Linked DNA regions of Schizosaccharomyces pombe. The protein of the gene in region 1 purifies or fractionates together with the protein of each later gene. This does not show direct contact. Each region holds a gene or a part of one and is shown in the gene's direction. Other genes may lie near its edges.

Region 1 (5,854 bases):
AAACTCGTAATTGCGTTCGACAAAACGAAAGAAGGGAGGAAACAAGGATCAGTTTTAATTTTAAGTATGCTCATCAAAAAGAATCGAGTGTCATGCTACTAGTAACGTTGGAACCGCTGACAATATCTTTGAACTCTTCAAAGCTAATTTTTCCATCGCGATCCTTATCAACTTCCATAATGGTTTTGTCAACAATCTAGTTATAATAGGAGTCAGATTTTGAGATAAGAGGTTTTGTCTATAACATACCTGCTGCAATTGATCTTCCCGAAGATTCGTGCCAACCATCATTTTCAGAACTAGATAAAGTTCTCCGTTTGAAATATAACCATCACGGTCAATATCATAAATCTTGAAGGCAACTAGATAAAACAATAATGTTAGAACATAATTTGCAAAGGAACGACAAGTTGATTGAGCTTACACTTCAGCTTTTCCTCTTTATTGCCATGCACTGAAAATACAGAAAGGCTATTAATAAATTCTTGAAAGTCCACATCTCCTCCACCGTCTTCGTCTACAACTGAAAACAGTCTGGAAGCAAGTGGGTTAGAAGCTACACTGGGAATCGACAAAAATTCGTTTCGGTCAATAGAGCCAGATTGGTTAGCATCTATTTTAATAAAACGCTTGCGAATTCTTTCTATCTCCTCATTGGAAACTAGATACAATGAACGTTAGCCGAGTCGCTTTGAGGTGCTAATACTTTTGCATTGTGCATGTGAAACCGGCAACTTTGATGAATTGGCTATAATCTTAAAAAGAAATAGACGACAAGAGATGTAAGTATTCTAACATGAAAAAATATAATGATAAGAACACTTTTGGCCACACGTACTAAGCATCAAACTTACAGGATGAATTTGAGATCAAGTCCTCAAAGATTTGCGACTGCGACTGACCCATGAGAGGGAAACACAATAATATGAAATGAGTAAGGTTCAATTAACAAACCAAGAATATAACGGTCAGCTACCTTTCAAAGAAAATTCCTTATATCGGTGGTGGTAGTTTGAGTCAAAATCCTTCTGAATGTAAGGGTCGAATGTCACTTGGCACACTTTGTCTTCCACCAATCTCAAAGATAATCGTGGAATCCGTAAATTTCAAAAAATGACTTGAAAACATGTTGGGTTGTGCAAAAAAATAGCTATGAAAATTATCTGTAAGCTTGTAATTGAAAATTCAACTGCAATGGCAGCTTTTCATTTTTAGAAAGGATGCATCAAACGAAAATCCGGCTTAAAAACGACAAAGAATTGAGGTTTAGAGCAATTCATAATTGCTTTGGAGATGGCTGTTTCTGCATCTTGGATTTTTAAAGGCGAGGTTTTGTAATTTTTCAAAACTAAATACCTTTAACCTTTATTCTTTCTGATGACCAAATTTTTTTTAAACTGCTTTAGCAGTTTTATGCTGATTAAGCTTTACCATATGAGCTTAAGATTATGAAGGAAGCAAAATCTGAGAATGAGCAATTTTTCGACATGTTTGGTAAGTATTTGAAAGGACTTTCGAATATTTGAAAGATTGCAATTCATGTTTTTAAATCAAATTTTAATCTTCCTGAAAAGGGCTTGGTTTCTGGAAAAAGCAAATGTGGAACGTTGAAAATGTTTGTCTACAACTTGCTTCGTTTTGAAAAAGACATTCATTTTTCTCACCCTATACTATGCGCAGTTGGCATAGATAATTGATGAGATACGGAAAACATCTTCGTTAGTGGAAAAAAATGTAGAATTTATTCCGCTGTTTACTTCTATGTTCCACCTGGCTCTGCTGCGAACAGTTTATTATTCTAACAGAAATGCCTATTCATGGTCTATAACACGCATTGAAAGTAAAAATCAAGTGCTTTTTTCTGCTACTAGAGACTACGAATACTAGCAGATCATGACTTTTCTTTTGAATTAGTAATGCTTTTTTTCTATTGAGTATTGACGAGGGTTTTCCGACGTCAATAAGATGAACTATGATAGAACTTGATTCCTTATAATTCACTATGGAGTTTTATGGACTTCACTTCAACTGATGGTTGACAATTTCCTCTTTTGTTTCTCCTGCCATCGGTTTCTTCCATTGTTTACACCTGGAATCTCCAGTAAATATCGCTACAATACGTTGTATATTAACGGTACGAGCGTATTAGAAAATTATTTTTGGTTACGTTGCTCCTCGGTAAATTATCGCAGTGAAGAGGTTTATGAAAAATTTCATTCGGTTTGTTAACCCCTAGTGGTTTGACACACCAACGACGACGGCCGTCAACTACGCCAGGATTTAGCGCCTGTTTCTACAAGATTTTGAGTGAGACGAGTATCTTATAATTTTACGGTTGGATAGATTTAAGTGATTGGAGTCCAACGATACCAATATTATCATGAGTTCCGTCTCCAAAAATGCTAGGGCATATCGTCAACGGAAGGTCGGTATTAAAACCGTTATGCCGATTTATTTCGAACGTGATATACCTGACTTTGATGAAGAAGCTTCACTTCAGCGGACAGTTCCCTTGGTGGAATCTGGTGTTGAAAAAGAAGAGGAAGAGGTAAGTGCGAACCCGAGAATGTGAAAGATAATGAAAAGTACGAAAAACCTTGGCTTCTTGATGGATTTCGTTGACAAAAATAAACACTCTTTTTAAAGGTGCTTAATCACCGTTTTACAATGTATACGAAGGGTTATGCGGAAAATTATGATTTGAGCGGAGTTGCATCGAATTTCTGAATTTTTTAAACTTGCTAGTTTGTTTGTGTTAAAGTTACTCTTGTAAAGATTAGTAAACTGAGAATTAAAAGTTACTTGAAAAATATTGATGCTCCTTCTTTCACGAATTTTGAGGTTTTTTTTTTTTTTTCAACGGATTCATTGAACCTTTTTAGTTTTTATTCTAAATTTGATTTTACTGAGAAAAGATTGCTACTTCATTATTGTGGCTAATGAATGTTTTGGGTTATGTTTCTAGCAATGCTTATTTATTTGATTATTTATTGTTTTTGGAATACAGCTGTCCTTTTTCTTATCGCTTTTCATTCATCTTCGATTACTTAGATTTCTAACAATTTATAGGAAAAACATTTGCAACAAGTCATCAATGAAGCCCATGAGGCCATTGTGCGTGGATCTGAAAAAAAGCTTATTATCCCTACACGGGAGGCTAAAAATATAGGTATAATTGACAAATATTACAAAAAGAATTTCATTCTTCCTAAGACATTAATTCGGTTTTCTCTCACTGTGGAAGAATGTACAAACCCAGAATATTGCATGGATGAACATGATACGGAATATTTTCTGAAGTTGAAACAGGCTCAACCTTCTCTTTCCAAATTTTCTGAATTAGATTTTGAAATTGTCATGCAGACGTTTGAAGAGGAAATTAATCAAAATCAGCCTTTTTTGAGCATGGATACCTCTCAAATATTGCCTTTGTCTGAGCTCATCACCTCCTTCGAGTTAAAAGATGTACTGTACTTGAAACCACTAGCTAGTCAAGTATACCCTTATTGGCGTGAGCGTCGTATCAGTAAGGGTGGTCTTCCAATTATGGCTAAAGCACAAGTTGGCGATGATAAGGATGATGATGATCCATATGTTTGTTTTCGTCGTCGTGAAATTCGACAGGCTCGCAAAACTCGTCGGTCGGACGCTCAGTCTTATGATCGCTTACGGAGGTTACGACAAAGCATGGAGACAAGTCTTCAGTTACTGGAACAAGTGTACAAACGTGAGCAAAAGAAGCTGCAAGCGCTTGAAGACGACTATGCTATTTTCCAGAAGCGCTGTCTTGTCAAAAAGCTTAAACGTACTCTAAATATAAAAGACAGTGATGAACTTTTAATCAATCCTAAACGACGTCCTATTGAGGTAAAGCCCGCCGCCCCTGTACCTACTCCAGCTCCACCTGTAAAAACTTCTCCTCACCCTGCTTCCTATCGCCCACAACCTACGCGAAATGTCGAAGTTCGACCGTTATTAATGCTTGATGATGTTCAATCAGCCCAAATTACACAATTTCAGATTCGTCTTCAGCAACGTCTTACCAAGAAGGAACAGCTCGATCGTAATTGGGTTGACCTTTTGGAGACGCCTAGTACCGTTATTCATACTAATTATCCCGATTCGTTTTACCGAAACATTATTCCATATTATTCAGGAAAAGAAACGAAACAATCCCATAATCAACTGAGTATTCCTTCCTCAACCCCTTCGACTCCATTATCTGATAATGGACCCACCTACTCTACACCTCACTCTTCCCTATCTAATTTTAATACGTGCGATTCACTTTCATTCTCTTCAAATAACTCTTTATACGGCTATAGCACTTTATTACATCCCAGAAATCCCATCTGCGTTCGACAACGAATAGGACGTGGAGGGCGTTTGATGTTGGATCGCACTCGTGCATTGCCAGTACATCGGTTGAGTAAACCAAAATCTCGTGTTGAAGATCGATGGCTTTTTGACATTCCCTTTGATGCCGATGACACAATTATACTCGATGATGAATCTGATGCTTCTATAATGTTTCGAGCTAGCTTGCTAAACGATGATATGGGTACTCAGTCATAAAACGCTTTTTATCTATGGTATTTATAATATTTCCATTACTAAAGATTTCGATCAAATTTTATTTTAACTATTTCTCCTCGACTAGCTTATTTAAGATTTTGATTGATTTCTTGAAGGGATTTGGGGTATAATCTATTTTTCTCTTTAGAAAAATAGTGTTTATTCATTTTTATGATTTTTGTTTGTCCAAATAAAAAATTTAATAGGGGGAATTGACTTGAAAGCATAGTCAGCTTTTTTTTTGGCTCACAAGATTTGATTTTGCTTCTACAGTCCAACCCTGGTTTTATGCATGCATAGATTCTTTATCGTCGCTAATTTATTTGATACTGTACTAGTTGAATCGGTGAATTGTTACAAAATTTTTGGTGATCCCGCTTTTTTAGACTTGCATGTGGTTAATGACTTTTTTAATGACATTCAATTCATTGTTCAGCTTTTTTAATTTAGCATATAATAAATATACGATGTACGAAGTTTATGTCTTAACGACTTATCGAATTCGTATTCAAATTGAATACATTTTTAGCTTTTTAAGTAGTTTTGGAAAAATTTCAGACTAAGTCATTGCGTTGGGTTGTTGATTATATATTTATTGGTTTCTTTCCTTTTTGTTCTATAACCATTTACTTTAGTTCTCTGAGCTTATTTTTTAGAAAATCATCCACTAACTATATGTCTCTCTCATTGCTACAAGATACAATAGCAAATATGAAGAAGAGTCATATCGAATTTATAATGCTCACTCTTAGTTTCCATAGTATGTGTTAATAAGGCGTACTTCTAGCAATTATGATTGCAGTAGGAGATTTAGAAATTATCGACTTAATTGAATATCAATAACCTTTATCTTTTTATTGTTGTTACTTTCAATTATAAAAAACTTGAAACAACTTTTTTAACTGAACTGACAAATTTTAGGTTCATCATAACGACTTTGGGGATTCAATTAAAGTCATTAAGTATATGAATGATTAATAGATTTACTGTTTAGCTTTTATGAAAATAAAAAACTAGTAATACTCACATGCATACTATTCACTTCATTGTTTACACTTAACTATTTACCAACAACTTCTTTAGTCACGTAAACTTCAACACTACCAAACGAAGATATAAAACATCTGCAATAATAAATCAGTCAAGGTACTAATTGATATATTGCTTTGGTAATATTACCAATTAAACATTCTTTTATATTTTAAATTTTAAAACAACACTCTTAACAGCCGCTCGATTCCATTTTAAATGCACAATTTTATAGCGAAAAGACTATTCA
Region 2 (5,332 bases), on another chromosome or scaffold:
GTAAAACTTCGTCGAGGGTGTTCGAAAAGAAAGTACAAAGCTTGCTGGAAATTAGGCGAAAATCTCGTTGTTCGTATCATAATCCAAATTATAAACCGGAGCATAATTGGAAAGAAAGTATTCCCTAAAAATATCAGAATAGTTCCAAGAACCTGAGGAAATATGGCTTTTTGAAAGGAATTTAAAGAATCGCTGTTCAACGAATAGCCTAGATTATCAAACAGCGAACTAGAAGTAAACGCTGCCCACCAGCCTCTATTTATACCGCCGTCCGTAACTACACGACCGGATGTTTTAGCAGTATAAATGAATATTAGGAACGCAACCAAACCAAGAATATGCCAAAACAGAAAATAAACCACTAATATGACAGTCAATATCCTGAGAGATTCATATTCAATTCCCGCCAATTCTTCTCTCTCCACTGGAGTTAAGGCATAAAATGCAGAATTTCTGCCCACTGTTGCATTGTACGATAAATAAGGTAAACTCATTGTGCTAGCTTTCGTGTGAGTACGGTTGAATGTGAGTCTTCGAGGAAGAGCAGATGTAAATGATTTGGCTAATTGAAATGGTAGGACAGACATTGAGCGCTCATTCCTGTGAAGTGTAGGTGTAACAGCAAATGATTTACCACGTTTTCTACCTCGTCCATCAAGTCGATGAGCACCTTTTTCCTGCTCAGCTCCATTCGTGTCATCTAAAGGTCAATATTAAAATCACGGAATGACTTACCAGCAAAATATATAGGCCTGCGATTATGCCTGGGAACAGGGGTTGGTGCAATGGTAATTGCAGAGCCGCGTACTACATTTTGATGTGCATCGTTAGTAGTTGCAGCAGCCTGATGATCAAAATTCGAATTTTGAGGTGAATAAGATGCTACATGTGGATCATTGTCAACTCTTGTTGTGCTGTAGTTTGAGTTTGAGGATGAAACAGTTTCCTGATTACCATCATTTGCAGTTTCTAGGGAAGGATTGTGCGAAGAGATAGAACTGTTGTTATCCAGATGATGGTTCAGTTGTGTTTGATTCTCGTGGTCATGTACTTGAGGCTCAAAATCCTCAGGAATTGTTTGAAAAGATGATTCTTCAAACGAACTAGGAATGTAAAAGTCGACAGGATTATTTCTAGCATTGTTTTGTACAACGGATAAAGATCCATTGTCGATTGATGCCATTCTTCGTTTCCCAAGAGCTGGACTTAATGCTTCAGTTCTGTCTTCATTTTCTTGAGAATTTCTAACACCTGCATAACTAGGGAGAGCGGGCATGGTATTCCCGCGAAAGAAGCTTGGGCGATCGATTGCATTAGCAAATTTCCTTAGACGAAAATGGTGCCTGTGATGTTTTTCATTCTCTTGGTGTTCAGCTTCCTCAGCCTTAGTCTCTGGGGCAACTGGCCGGTGCATTTGATTACCCTGGTCTAACAAAACCCGAATTTTTCGATTGCCAACTTTGGAAGGCTCTGGAGTATCCCTTCTTCTTACAGTGTGATAAGTATATGTCATCCTAAGTTTATTATTTGTTATGACCATGTCATATCGCTTGTTATAGAAGTACAGCTTAAACAAAGTCAAGCCCAGGTTCACAGTAATTGGTGTACTCAAAACTCCAAAAAGGAGAATAGTTAACTAAAAAATAGTTAAAAAATTTATTTAAAAATATGCATACCTGTTGGTAAATGGATATCTGCGTGAGGTCCACAGGCTGCAAGCCAGTCTGAGTACAAGAACCAGAAGCCAACAACAAAGCATCTATGTAGCGCAAATTTCCCGACCCATACAATATTACTGAACATAAAATAGTCATTCCTATTATAAAAGAATCTTGAACAAAGTTAGGCTTGAAAAGAAGTTTTTCACATACAATGGTATTCAAGGAACCGGAACCGTTTGTAGAAAAACCCGATAACTGCATGATAAAATCTGTATAATATTTTCCTTCTTAAAAACCTTCTATATCGTACAAACATGTCATAGTTTATAAAGCAGTATTATATTGTATTTGATAAAAATTACACTCACGTCGATTTCAAATAGCTTCAGTGGCTTCTTGAATAGTGCAGTTTTGCGTCCTCACTATACGATTCACCTTGAACATAGCAACAACTAAACAACATCTGACAGTAATCGTTCTGTGCTTTTTTACAGCTGTGTCCAAAATCTCGTAGTGTATCAAGTTTGGTTTCAAAGATTTATTAAAAAGTATCTGCATGGACCGAACTTTGTTATGGAAGACGGTTTTGAAAAGTCGCTCAGCAGCTCTATAGAGCTACTGAAAGCTGAAAGTACAGGTATATAAATTTTTGTAGATATTTTGATTCATTTTTTTATTTTATACTAACTTTTTTTAAGAAATAGAAGAAAAAATCAAACTAACTAAAATTTTAATTACTAAGGTTTCTAGCATATCTTCAGACGCCTCGCAGCTGTATGCAGAATTAATTCCACTACTCTTGGATTTTTTACGAAATACAGAGGTGAATCTTTATAGAAATTCTTCTGTCAATGAACTCAAGATCGAAGCATTGACTTTAATACAAAGTTGCGCTCACCGTGATGAATTTAAACAATATGCGCAGTCTTGTGTGCTTTCGTTCATTAGCTTGATTAAAGCAGATAATGAAGAAGTCGCTGTTTTTTGCTTAAAAGTTATTATGGATATATTCAAAACTTTTAAGTTTTGTATAGAAAGCACTGCACAACCCTTTTTTGACTTGGTACTTGAGCTTTCTACAAACCTTCCTTATTTAATTCCCTCAATATTTGTCGAGAATCCAAAATCAAATGAAGAGGAAAATACAACCCTGGCTTTTGGTAGTTATCTGTCTACGGAAACTTCAATCATCCAACAGCGTGTCAATTCTTTAGCTATTTCTACTCAACCTTTGGAACTGGCTTCTCAAAGTTTCCGCGTGTATGTAGAGTGTCCGGTCATTATAGTTTTGATTCTTCAAGCATATCGTCAAGCTGCTTTCCCTGGTGTTCAAGCCATAATTCCCTGTTTTCTTAAGATGGTACAAATTGATGTTCCAATAGACATCGCTTCATATGCAATGATTGAAAAAGATTCAAGCATTGACTTTATTGAGTTTATAAGGAATAAATATCAGTACCGTAATTTTTTTATGGCTCAAGTAAAGACTTTATCTTTCTTGGCTTATATTTTACGAACTCATCCCAATACACTTTCTGAGAAGGATATAATACCGGACATTGTAATAAAGCTTTTGAGGCGATGCCCTTTTGATATGTGTTTTGCCCGTAAAGAACTGCTGGTTGCTACGAGACATATTCTGTCAACAAACTTAAAATCTCTTTTTGTCAAAAAGCTGGATTTTTTGTTAGATTTAAATATATTATTAGGAAATGGAGTTGGTACTCAAAAGCTGTTACGTCCCTTGGCATTTAGTACATTAGCTGACTTACTTCATCATGTACGTGACGAACTTAACGAAACGCAAATAAGAAAATCTATAATGATTTATTCGACCAATATGCATGATTTGACTCTTAGCATTGGGTTACAGACTATGGGTGCCCGGCTCATTTTAAACATGGTTGACAGAATGATTAGTCTTCCTAGCATCCCCGATGCTATATTTCTTCTTTTATCTATTTTTGATAGCTTTGTAAATAAGTTTTCGGAACTTAATGATAGTTTGGATCAGTTTTTTAAGAAAAAGTATGAAGAAGAAATTAAAGAGACAAAGTCACCGACGCGTTCTTCTCCTAGGGATTTATCTTCATTTAGCACTTCCGTCAATGATGGATCATTTCTTTTTAAAAACTTGATGTTTGGCTTACGGGCTCTTATGTATGGGCTTCGTACATGCAAGTCTCGATGCATAGAAATTGGAGGTGAACAATTTTCGGGATTCCTTACGAATATCAAGCCTTTCGAAGCTGTTACGTTTCAGAAGCTTTTTTTTGAGGTTGGCAAAGGATTCTCATATTTTCGACCTGAGCAAGTCTATTTAGAAACTTTTTTCTGCTGCGAAGAAGAAAGTTTAGATCGCCCTGCTATATCTACGCTTCCTCGTAACAAAGACGAGAAAGATTGTCTTGAAGTATTTGCTACCATTTTTATACATCTCGAGCCATCTATATTTCTTAAAGTTTTTGAAACAAACCTTCCTACTTTTTTTGATCAACTTAAAAAAAATCTCACATTATTTCACATTCCACAGTTTTTGCTTTCAAATGAGAGCACATCATCAAAATTTTTAAATATTTTACTTCGATTTCTGCTTTCCAGAATTGAGGAACTCGGATCTTCTGACATCAGGCATGGTTCTGTCTTGTTGCGTTTGTTTCGTCTTTCTTTCGTTACAGTCTCAATGTTTGCAACAGAGAATGAGCCAGTTCTTCGGCCTTATGTATCTGAAATTATTGTGAAATGTATGAAGTTGGCTCCCAATTCTGCTAATTCATTGAACTACTATTATCTATTAAGAGCGTTGTTCCGAGGAATTGGTGGGGGAAGATTTGAAAGCCTTTATAAAGAAGTAATGCCTTTGTTGCACGCTCTATTAGAGGCATTTAATTCATTGCTTATATCTGCCCGTACTCCGAAGGAGAAAGACCTTTTTACCGAACTTTGTCTTACTATTCCTGTAAGGCTTAGTCTTTTATTACCATACATGAGTTATCTAATGAGACCTCTCGTCATGTCTTTAAAAAGCAGTCAAGAATTAGTTAGTCAGGGATTACGAACCTTTGAATTATGCTTGGATAATCTCACTCCTGATTTTTTGGATCCGATAATGGCTCCTTACATAGAAGATCTAATGAATGCTTTATGGAGTCATCTACAACCTCTTCCTTATAATTATAATCACAGCCATACTGCCTTGAAAATACTTGGTAAACTTGGTGGAAGAAATAGGAAGCTTCTTGATAGAGTCCAGAGTTTAAAGAATTCGCCGGAACCGAATAACGATTTTACTTTACTTCTTTCGATAAAAGGGGTTAAACAACCACAACTTTTACATTACACCCAATATGTTGATGAGGCTGTGAATTTGCTTTCTAGCCCTTCTAGTGATCTGGAGGTTAAGCAACAAGCGTTCACTTATGTTTGCAATATTTCAAAGCTCTATGTTTATAAGAGTGACGCTACTAACAGCTTAGCCTCATCCATTCGATGTACTGCAGACAAGATTTCTAAGAGTAATTTTGATTTTCGACGACCATATTCTGTAATACCGAGCCGAATGACTGGAAGGAGTTCATTCACCCAACTGAGTGATGATTCAGATGAAACCATAATTTTGGCCTCGGCTACATATGGACTTTTTTTTGCTACGACGGTTGATGAACTCCGCG
Region 3 (4,581 bases), on another chromosome or scaffold:
GTCCGGAGATGTTAGAGCCTATGGGATTACCTAAAGATGTTCGTTGTTTAGGTTTTGGTCTTTCTTTAGAGCGCCCCACTATGATCAAATATGGTGTGGCCGACATTAGACAATTGATTGGTCCTAAGGTTAACTTGGACCTAATTGAGGCTAGCCCTGCAGTTCGTTTAGACAAAGAGGAATAAATTTAGTGTTTTTTTTTGCATAATCGTTTATAAAAATAATACATAATCACTATGGTAAACGTATTTTCGTATAGGGTCAATTATTAATATTTACAATGTCTATAAACATTAACTAAAATTATTTGATGTTTGTACGGATATCAAATAAAAAGTCGAAAATTCATTAATATCAGCCTCGAACGCGAACATCCACAGCTTTGTCTAAGTATTCATCATTCAACCGTTCGTCTTCTTCTTCCAAATGCCCAGTTAAGTCTGGTGGAATTTGCTGCATCTGAACGCTTGGCGCTCCTCCTAAGTAACGTAATTGCTCCAAGGCCCGTATTCGAAGATCTTCAAGAGCTTTCGGTGTATTTTTATTTTCTATCTTCGTGGTTAATCGCGGATGGAGGGTGTAATCTGGTGCGAAAAATTCGTAATACAAAGTTTCACGAGGTAATTCTGAAGGTATTTGTTCGTTTACACATATGGAAGTTTCATAACACCACGCTCTAGCAACATTTCTAAGAGTATAACCACCACCTCCAACTACAAGCATGGGTATATTGAATGAACGGGTAAATCTAACACATTCCCCATGTGCATGGATGCTCAGATTGAACACGCCGAGCCGATCATAACCAAGCGAATCAGCACCACACTGAAGGACAATTGCAGAAGGTTGAAAAGTATTGATAGTTGGTTCAATTATGGATTTGAAAAGACTAGTGTACTGTTCATCACCAATACCATCTTCCAAAGGAACGTTTAAAGCAAAATATTTCCCTCCTTTCACGCCATTTTCATCAAAATTACCAGTTGCAGGAAAAAAATCACCATTATACTTGTGAAAAGAAACCGTCAACACGCGGTCAGATTCATAGAATGCTTGCTGCACACCATCTCCATGATGAATATCGATATCGATATACAAAACGCGAGGAAAAAACCGTAGCATGTTCAAAATTGCTAGAACAATATCATTAACATAGCAGAATCCACTAGCCTCACCACGCTTTGCATGATGGAGACCACCGCTCCAATTGATAGCAATGTCTGTTTGACCTTGCACTAACTTCCGAGAAGCATCCAAACTAGCGCCTGCCGACCTTTGAGAAAATTCATAAGTGCCGTCAAAGACCGGACAGTCATCACCAATATTGAATTGTTGGAACTTATCAGCAAATTGTTCAGCATTATCAGGAGTAACGCGCTTAAGGAAATCCAAATAATCCTCCCTATGAAATTCTGACATTTCACCAAAAGTTGCCATCCGGGGGCTGAATACACTCATTTTGTTATGCAACCCATAACCCATCACTAAATGATTTGTAATGGTAATTCGATGGGGCTTCATTGGATGTTTGTCACCATAGTGGTAGTTTCCCACCTGTTCATCTAAGTGATATGTGACACGCTTTTTTTGAGGTCGAAAGCTAAAAAAAGACCCCTTTTCAACTTGTTCATAAGGTGTGGATGTCTCAGGAGTATCCATGATATACAGACTATTATACTAAAAAAAACCGCGAGACAAATTAAATGAAAATATCTTTTCTAAAGAAAGAACAAGAAAAGAATAAATAAAATTAAGAAACAAATTAATAACTGTTTCAGAAGAAACAAGAGAAATGAAAGTTATTGACCAATGCCAAATTAATATAAATCGAAAAACAACCCAGATTTTTTTATAGAAAAGAATTCAATCCAAATAATAAACAGCAACACGAACTGTAAATACTTTATTTTTACGTCGAGCGCAGAATACGTAGCAAAAGGTCGCTAAACCCGATACCTTATTAGATAAAATGTACAACTTCAACAAAGCGTTAATTCAAACTCTTTGAAGCCCATAAACACAAGAACAAATAGGATTTACAATTTTTTGAAGAATTGCTAGTGCTGGTTCATTCTTATAACTTAAAAATGTATATCTCAGTGAACACAGAAGGAAGCTACCAACTTAGGTGTAGTTTAGTATGTTATGCTTCCATATATGAACTAACACATTAATAACGTATCGTTATTACTTAAACAGATGGTAACCTTTAGCATGTGAATTCATAGACAATTTGGCAACTTAGATATCATACATACGTTGAAAAGATTTATCTTCAAAGTGATTTGGTTTGCGTGAATTCTTATGTTTTTATTTCGCCCTCTTTGCCTTCCAGTACTGTGTTTACATTATATGGAGTGGCGGAACTCAACACCAAATGTGGGCTACTATAAACAACCGGAAAAATTTTCAGCAGCTTAAGAGAGTGTAAAAATAATCTTTAAACGACACAAAAACGAGCCATAGGTTCATATATATTATTTCAATTAGTGTCTTTGTCCTTCTCGTTTGTACATTTATTGTCACATTCCTCTACTTTAAAAGATAAAGTCATAGTATCTTTTATTCATTAGTTATTGAAGTATCGAAAATATTAGTGGAATATCAACTTTCCCTATCTCTTTAAAAGACTCAAATCTCCCTTTCTTTTGGAATTTGAAATCATAATAATAATTTTTGCATAAAGCGGAAATTAGAACGTATCTATAATTTTCAATTTGAGAATAATGGCAGATGATACAGCTTACATACTAAGTGAGTATTTGCAAACGTTGGATAATGTTCCCAACGAAACAAAACACATCTTTGACGAAATTAGTGTGAAGGAAGTTGCTGTACATGACATCTGGAAGAGAATTCAAGCAGCTGATTCTCAGATTCAGTCATACATTAAATCACATGGTTCCTTGACCCCACATCCAAAAGAAGATGCTTTGTATTCGACGATTCGCGAGGAGTATCAAAAGGCAATTAATATACAGAACGAGAAAGTCCAGTTGGCGGATCGTGCCAGATTGGGACTTACACGGCACATAAAGCGATTGGATGATAGACTTGCAAAGGCCGGTCATGGATTTACAGCTGCGGAATTGTTAAATGCTCCTGACTACTATGCTTCTTCACCGTATGGTGGATACAGTCCAAGTGGTGCCTCAAGTGCTCGTCAAACACCGGCCCCTTCTCGGTCGGGAGCCTCAACAGCTGGTCGCCGTCGTACTTCAGCAACTACCAGGGGTGCAATTCAAAATGGAGTCTATCACTCTCCTTATACGGCTTCGTTGGCAGATTCTGGTTCAACTCGCGGTCAGAAGGTTTCGAATGCCACTGCAACCACCCAGTTAGAAACTAAGGCAGATTCCACAACGCCGAATGAAATGGTCTCAGAAGAAGATATGGAAGAGGATAATGAAAAGTATTGTTTTTGCCAGCAAGGATCATATGGGCAAATGGTCGCTTGTGACAATGCTAATTGTGAGCGTGAATGGTTCCATATGGAGTGTGTTGGTCTTAAAGCTCCTCCTGAAGGTACATGGTATTGCGAAGCTTGTAGGGATCAGAAGCTTGTTGATGCTAAGTAATTTTTCCCCAATCTAAAGTCTGTTGGTCTTCCCATTATTGAATGCAAGCATTGTTGTTTTTTTTTGGGCTTTAATATCCGCTAATTTTTCACCTGTTCCGAACTTACTATATTTGATTATACGTTGTTCAAGCTGTGTATATGTGATTTGCAAAATGGTTAATTTATTAATCATATCTTCACGATTACGAATCCTTTTTATCTTATTCTTGTCCTTGTTTGTTTTTCACTCACATAATAAGTACCAGATTACTTGTACATTAAGAAATTCAGTTCTTTAATTTCCCCAATCCTCCCCAAAGCAGATATTACACGCCGTAGCTAACCACAGTAATAAGTCTTTTGTAACTTTATTATTTGTAATTGCATTTGTTGTCCATTATTTCTACTATATTGGAACTGAACTTATTATTGTACATACAAAGGAACAAGATGCAGCGTCTAGCGTTTTCATATTATCTCGTAACATATAAAAGAACTCTTACGCATTCGGAAAAAAGAAGAGGAAATTTTTTAACCATAGATATCACTAGATAAATTTGATAAAGTGTATAGTACAAAATAAAAAGAACCCCAGATTATAATGGAACACTAAAGTGCCAAAAATTCACAATGAAAAAGCGTATATTAGCTAGTGTCTAATCCATTTACTCAGAACCGCTTTGGTCATCCTCTTCATCACCAGAGATTTCAGCATTTTCCTTTTCAAATTTTTTCATCAAATCGGCAAGCTCCAATTCGTCAGTTTCACTAACCGCCTTGGGTTTCATTTTAACAGTACAGGTACCATTGGATGCTGTAATGGATTTTTCGATTGCACCAATTGCCTCTTCTAGCTTTTTGAGACCCAATGACTTATCTAATGCGTTTGTCAAAAGGACGTAAAGTGGAGGAGCAACAAGTTTAACTTTGATAGGAACCTCCTCGGTATGAACATCTTCAGCAGCCTTCAAAGCGGCCTTGATAGCGTTAATACCTTCGTAGCCAAAGCAAGTGACTTCAAC

What was found.
Region 2: the proteins of epl1 (region 1) and tra2 purify together in Schizosaccharomyces pombe (affinity purification with mass spectrometry; 2 studies listed by BioGRID). This does not show direct contact.
Region 3: the proteins of epl1 (region 1) and png1 purify together in Schizosaccharomyces pombe (affinity purification with mass spectrometry, with the first as the bait; one study listed by BioGRID). This does not show direct contact.

What each region holds. Positions count from the first base shown.
Region 1 is NC_003421.2:2,187,256-2,193,109, reverse strand, and holds epl1 (NuA4 histone acetyltransferase core complex-Piccolo HAT module linker protein Epl1), read left to right. Parts: upstream 1-2,234; 5' UTR 2,235-2,380; coding exon 2,381-2,548; exon of another isoform or gene 2,549-2,755; intron 2,756-3,069; coding exon 3,070-4,575; 3' UTR 4,576-5,027; downstream 5,028-5,854. Other genes in the region: cnb1 (calcineurin regulatory subunit B), read right to left, coding at 74-196, 250-362, 425-661, 855-906. UniProt on the Schizosaccharomyces pombe protein: Component of the NuA4 histone acetyltransferase complex which is involved in transcriptional activation of selected genes principally by acetylation of nucleosomal histone H4 and H2A. The NuA4 complex is also involved in DNA repair.
Region 2 is NC_003424.3:257,485-262,816, forward strand, and holds the start of tra2 (phosphatidylinositol kinase-like protein Tra2), read left to right. Parts: upstream 1-2,126; 5' UTR 2,127-2,234; coding exon 2,235-2,298; intron 2,299-2,359; coding exon 2,360-5,332. Other genes in the region: plasma membrane potassium ion transmembrane transporter Trk2, read right to left, coding at 1-700, 736-1,636, 1,677-1,831, 1,872-1,977.
Region 3 is NC_003424.3:3,167,188-3,171,768, reverse strand, and holds png1 (chromatin modification-related protein), read left to right. Parts: upstream 1-2,381; 5' UTR 2,382-2,726; coding exon 2,727-3,578; 3' UTR 3,579-3,875; downstream 3,876-4,581. Other genes in the region: phenylalanine--tRNA (Phe) ligase alpha subunit Frs2, read left to right, coding at 1-185; class 1 histone deacetylase Hos2, read right to left, coding at 355-1,659; tif211 (translation initiation factor eIF2 alpha subunit), read right to left, coding at 4,225-4,581. UniProt on the Schizosaccharomyces pombe protein: Component of a histone deacetylase complex responsible for the deacetylation of lysine residues on the N-terminal part of the core histones (H2A, H2B, H3 and H4).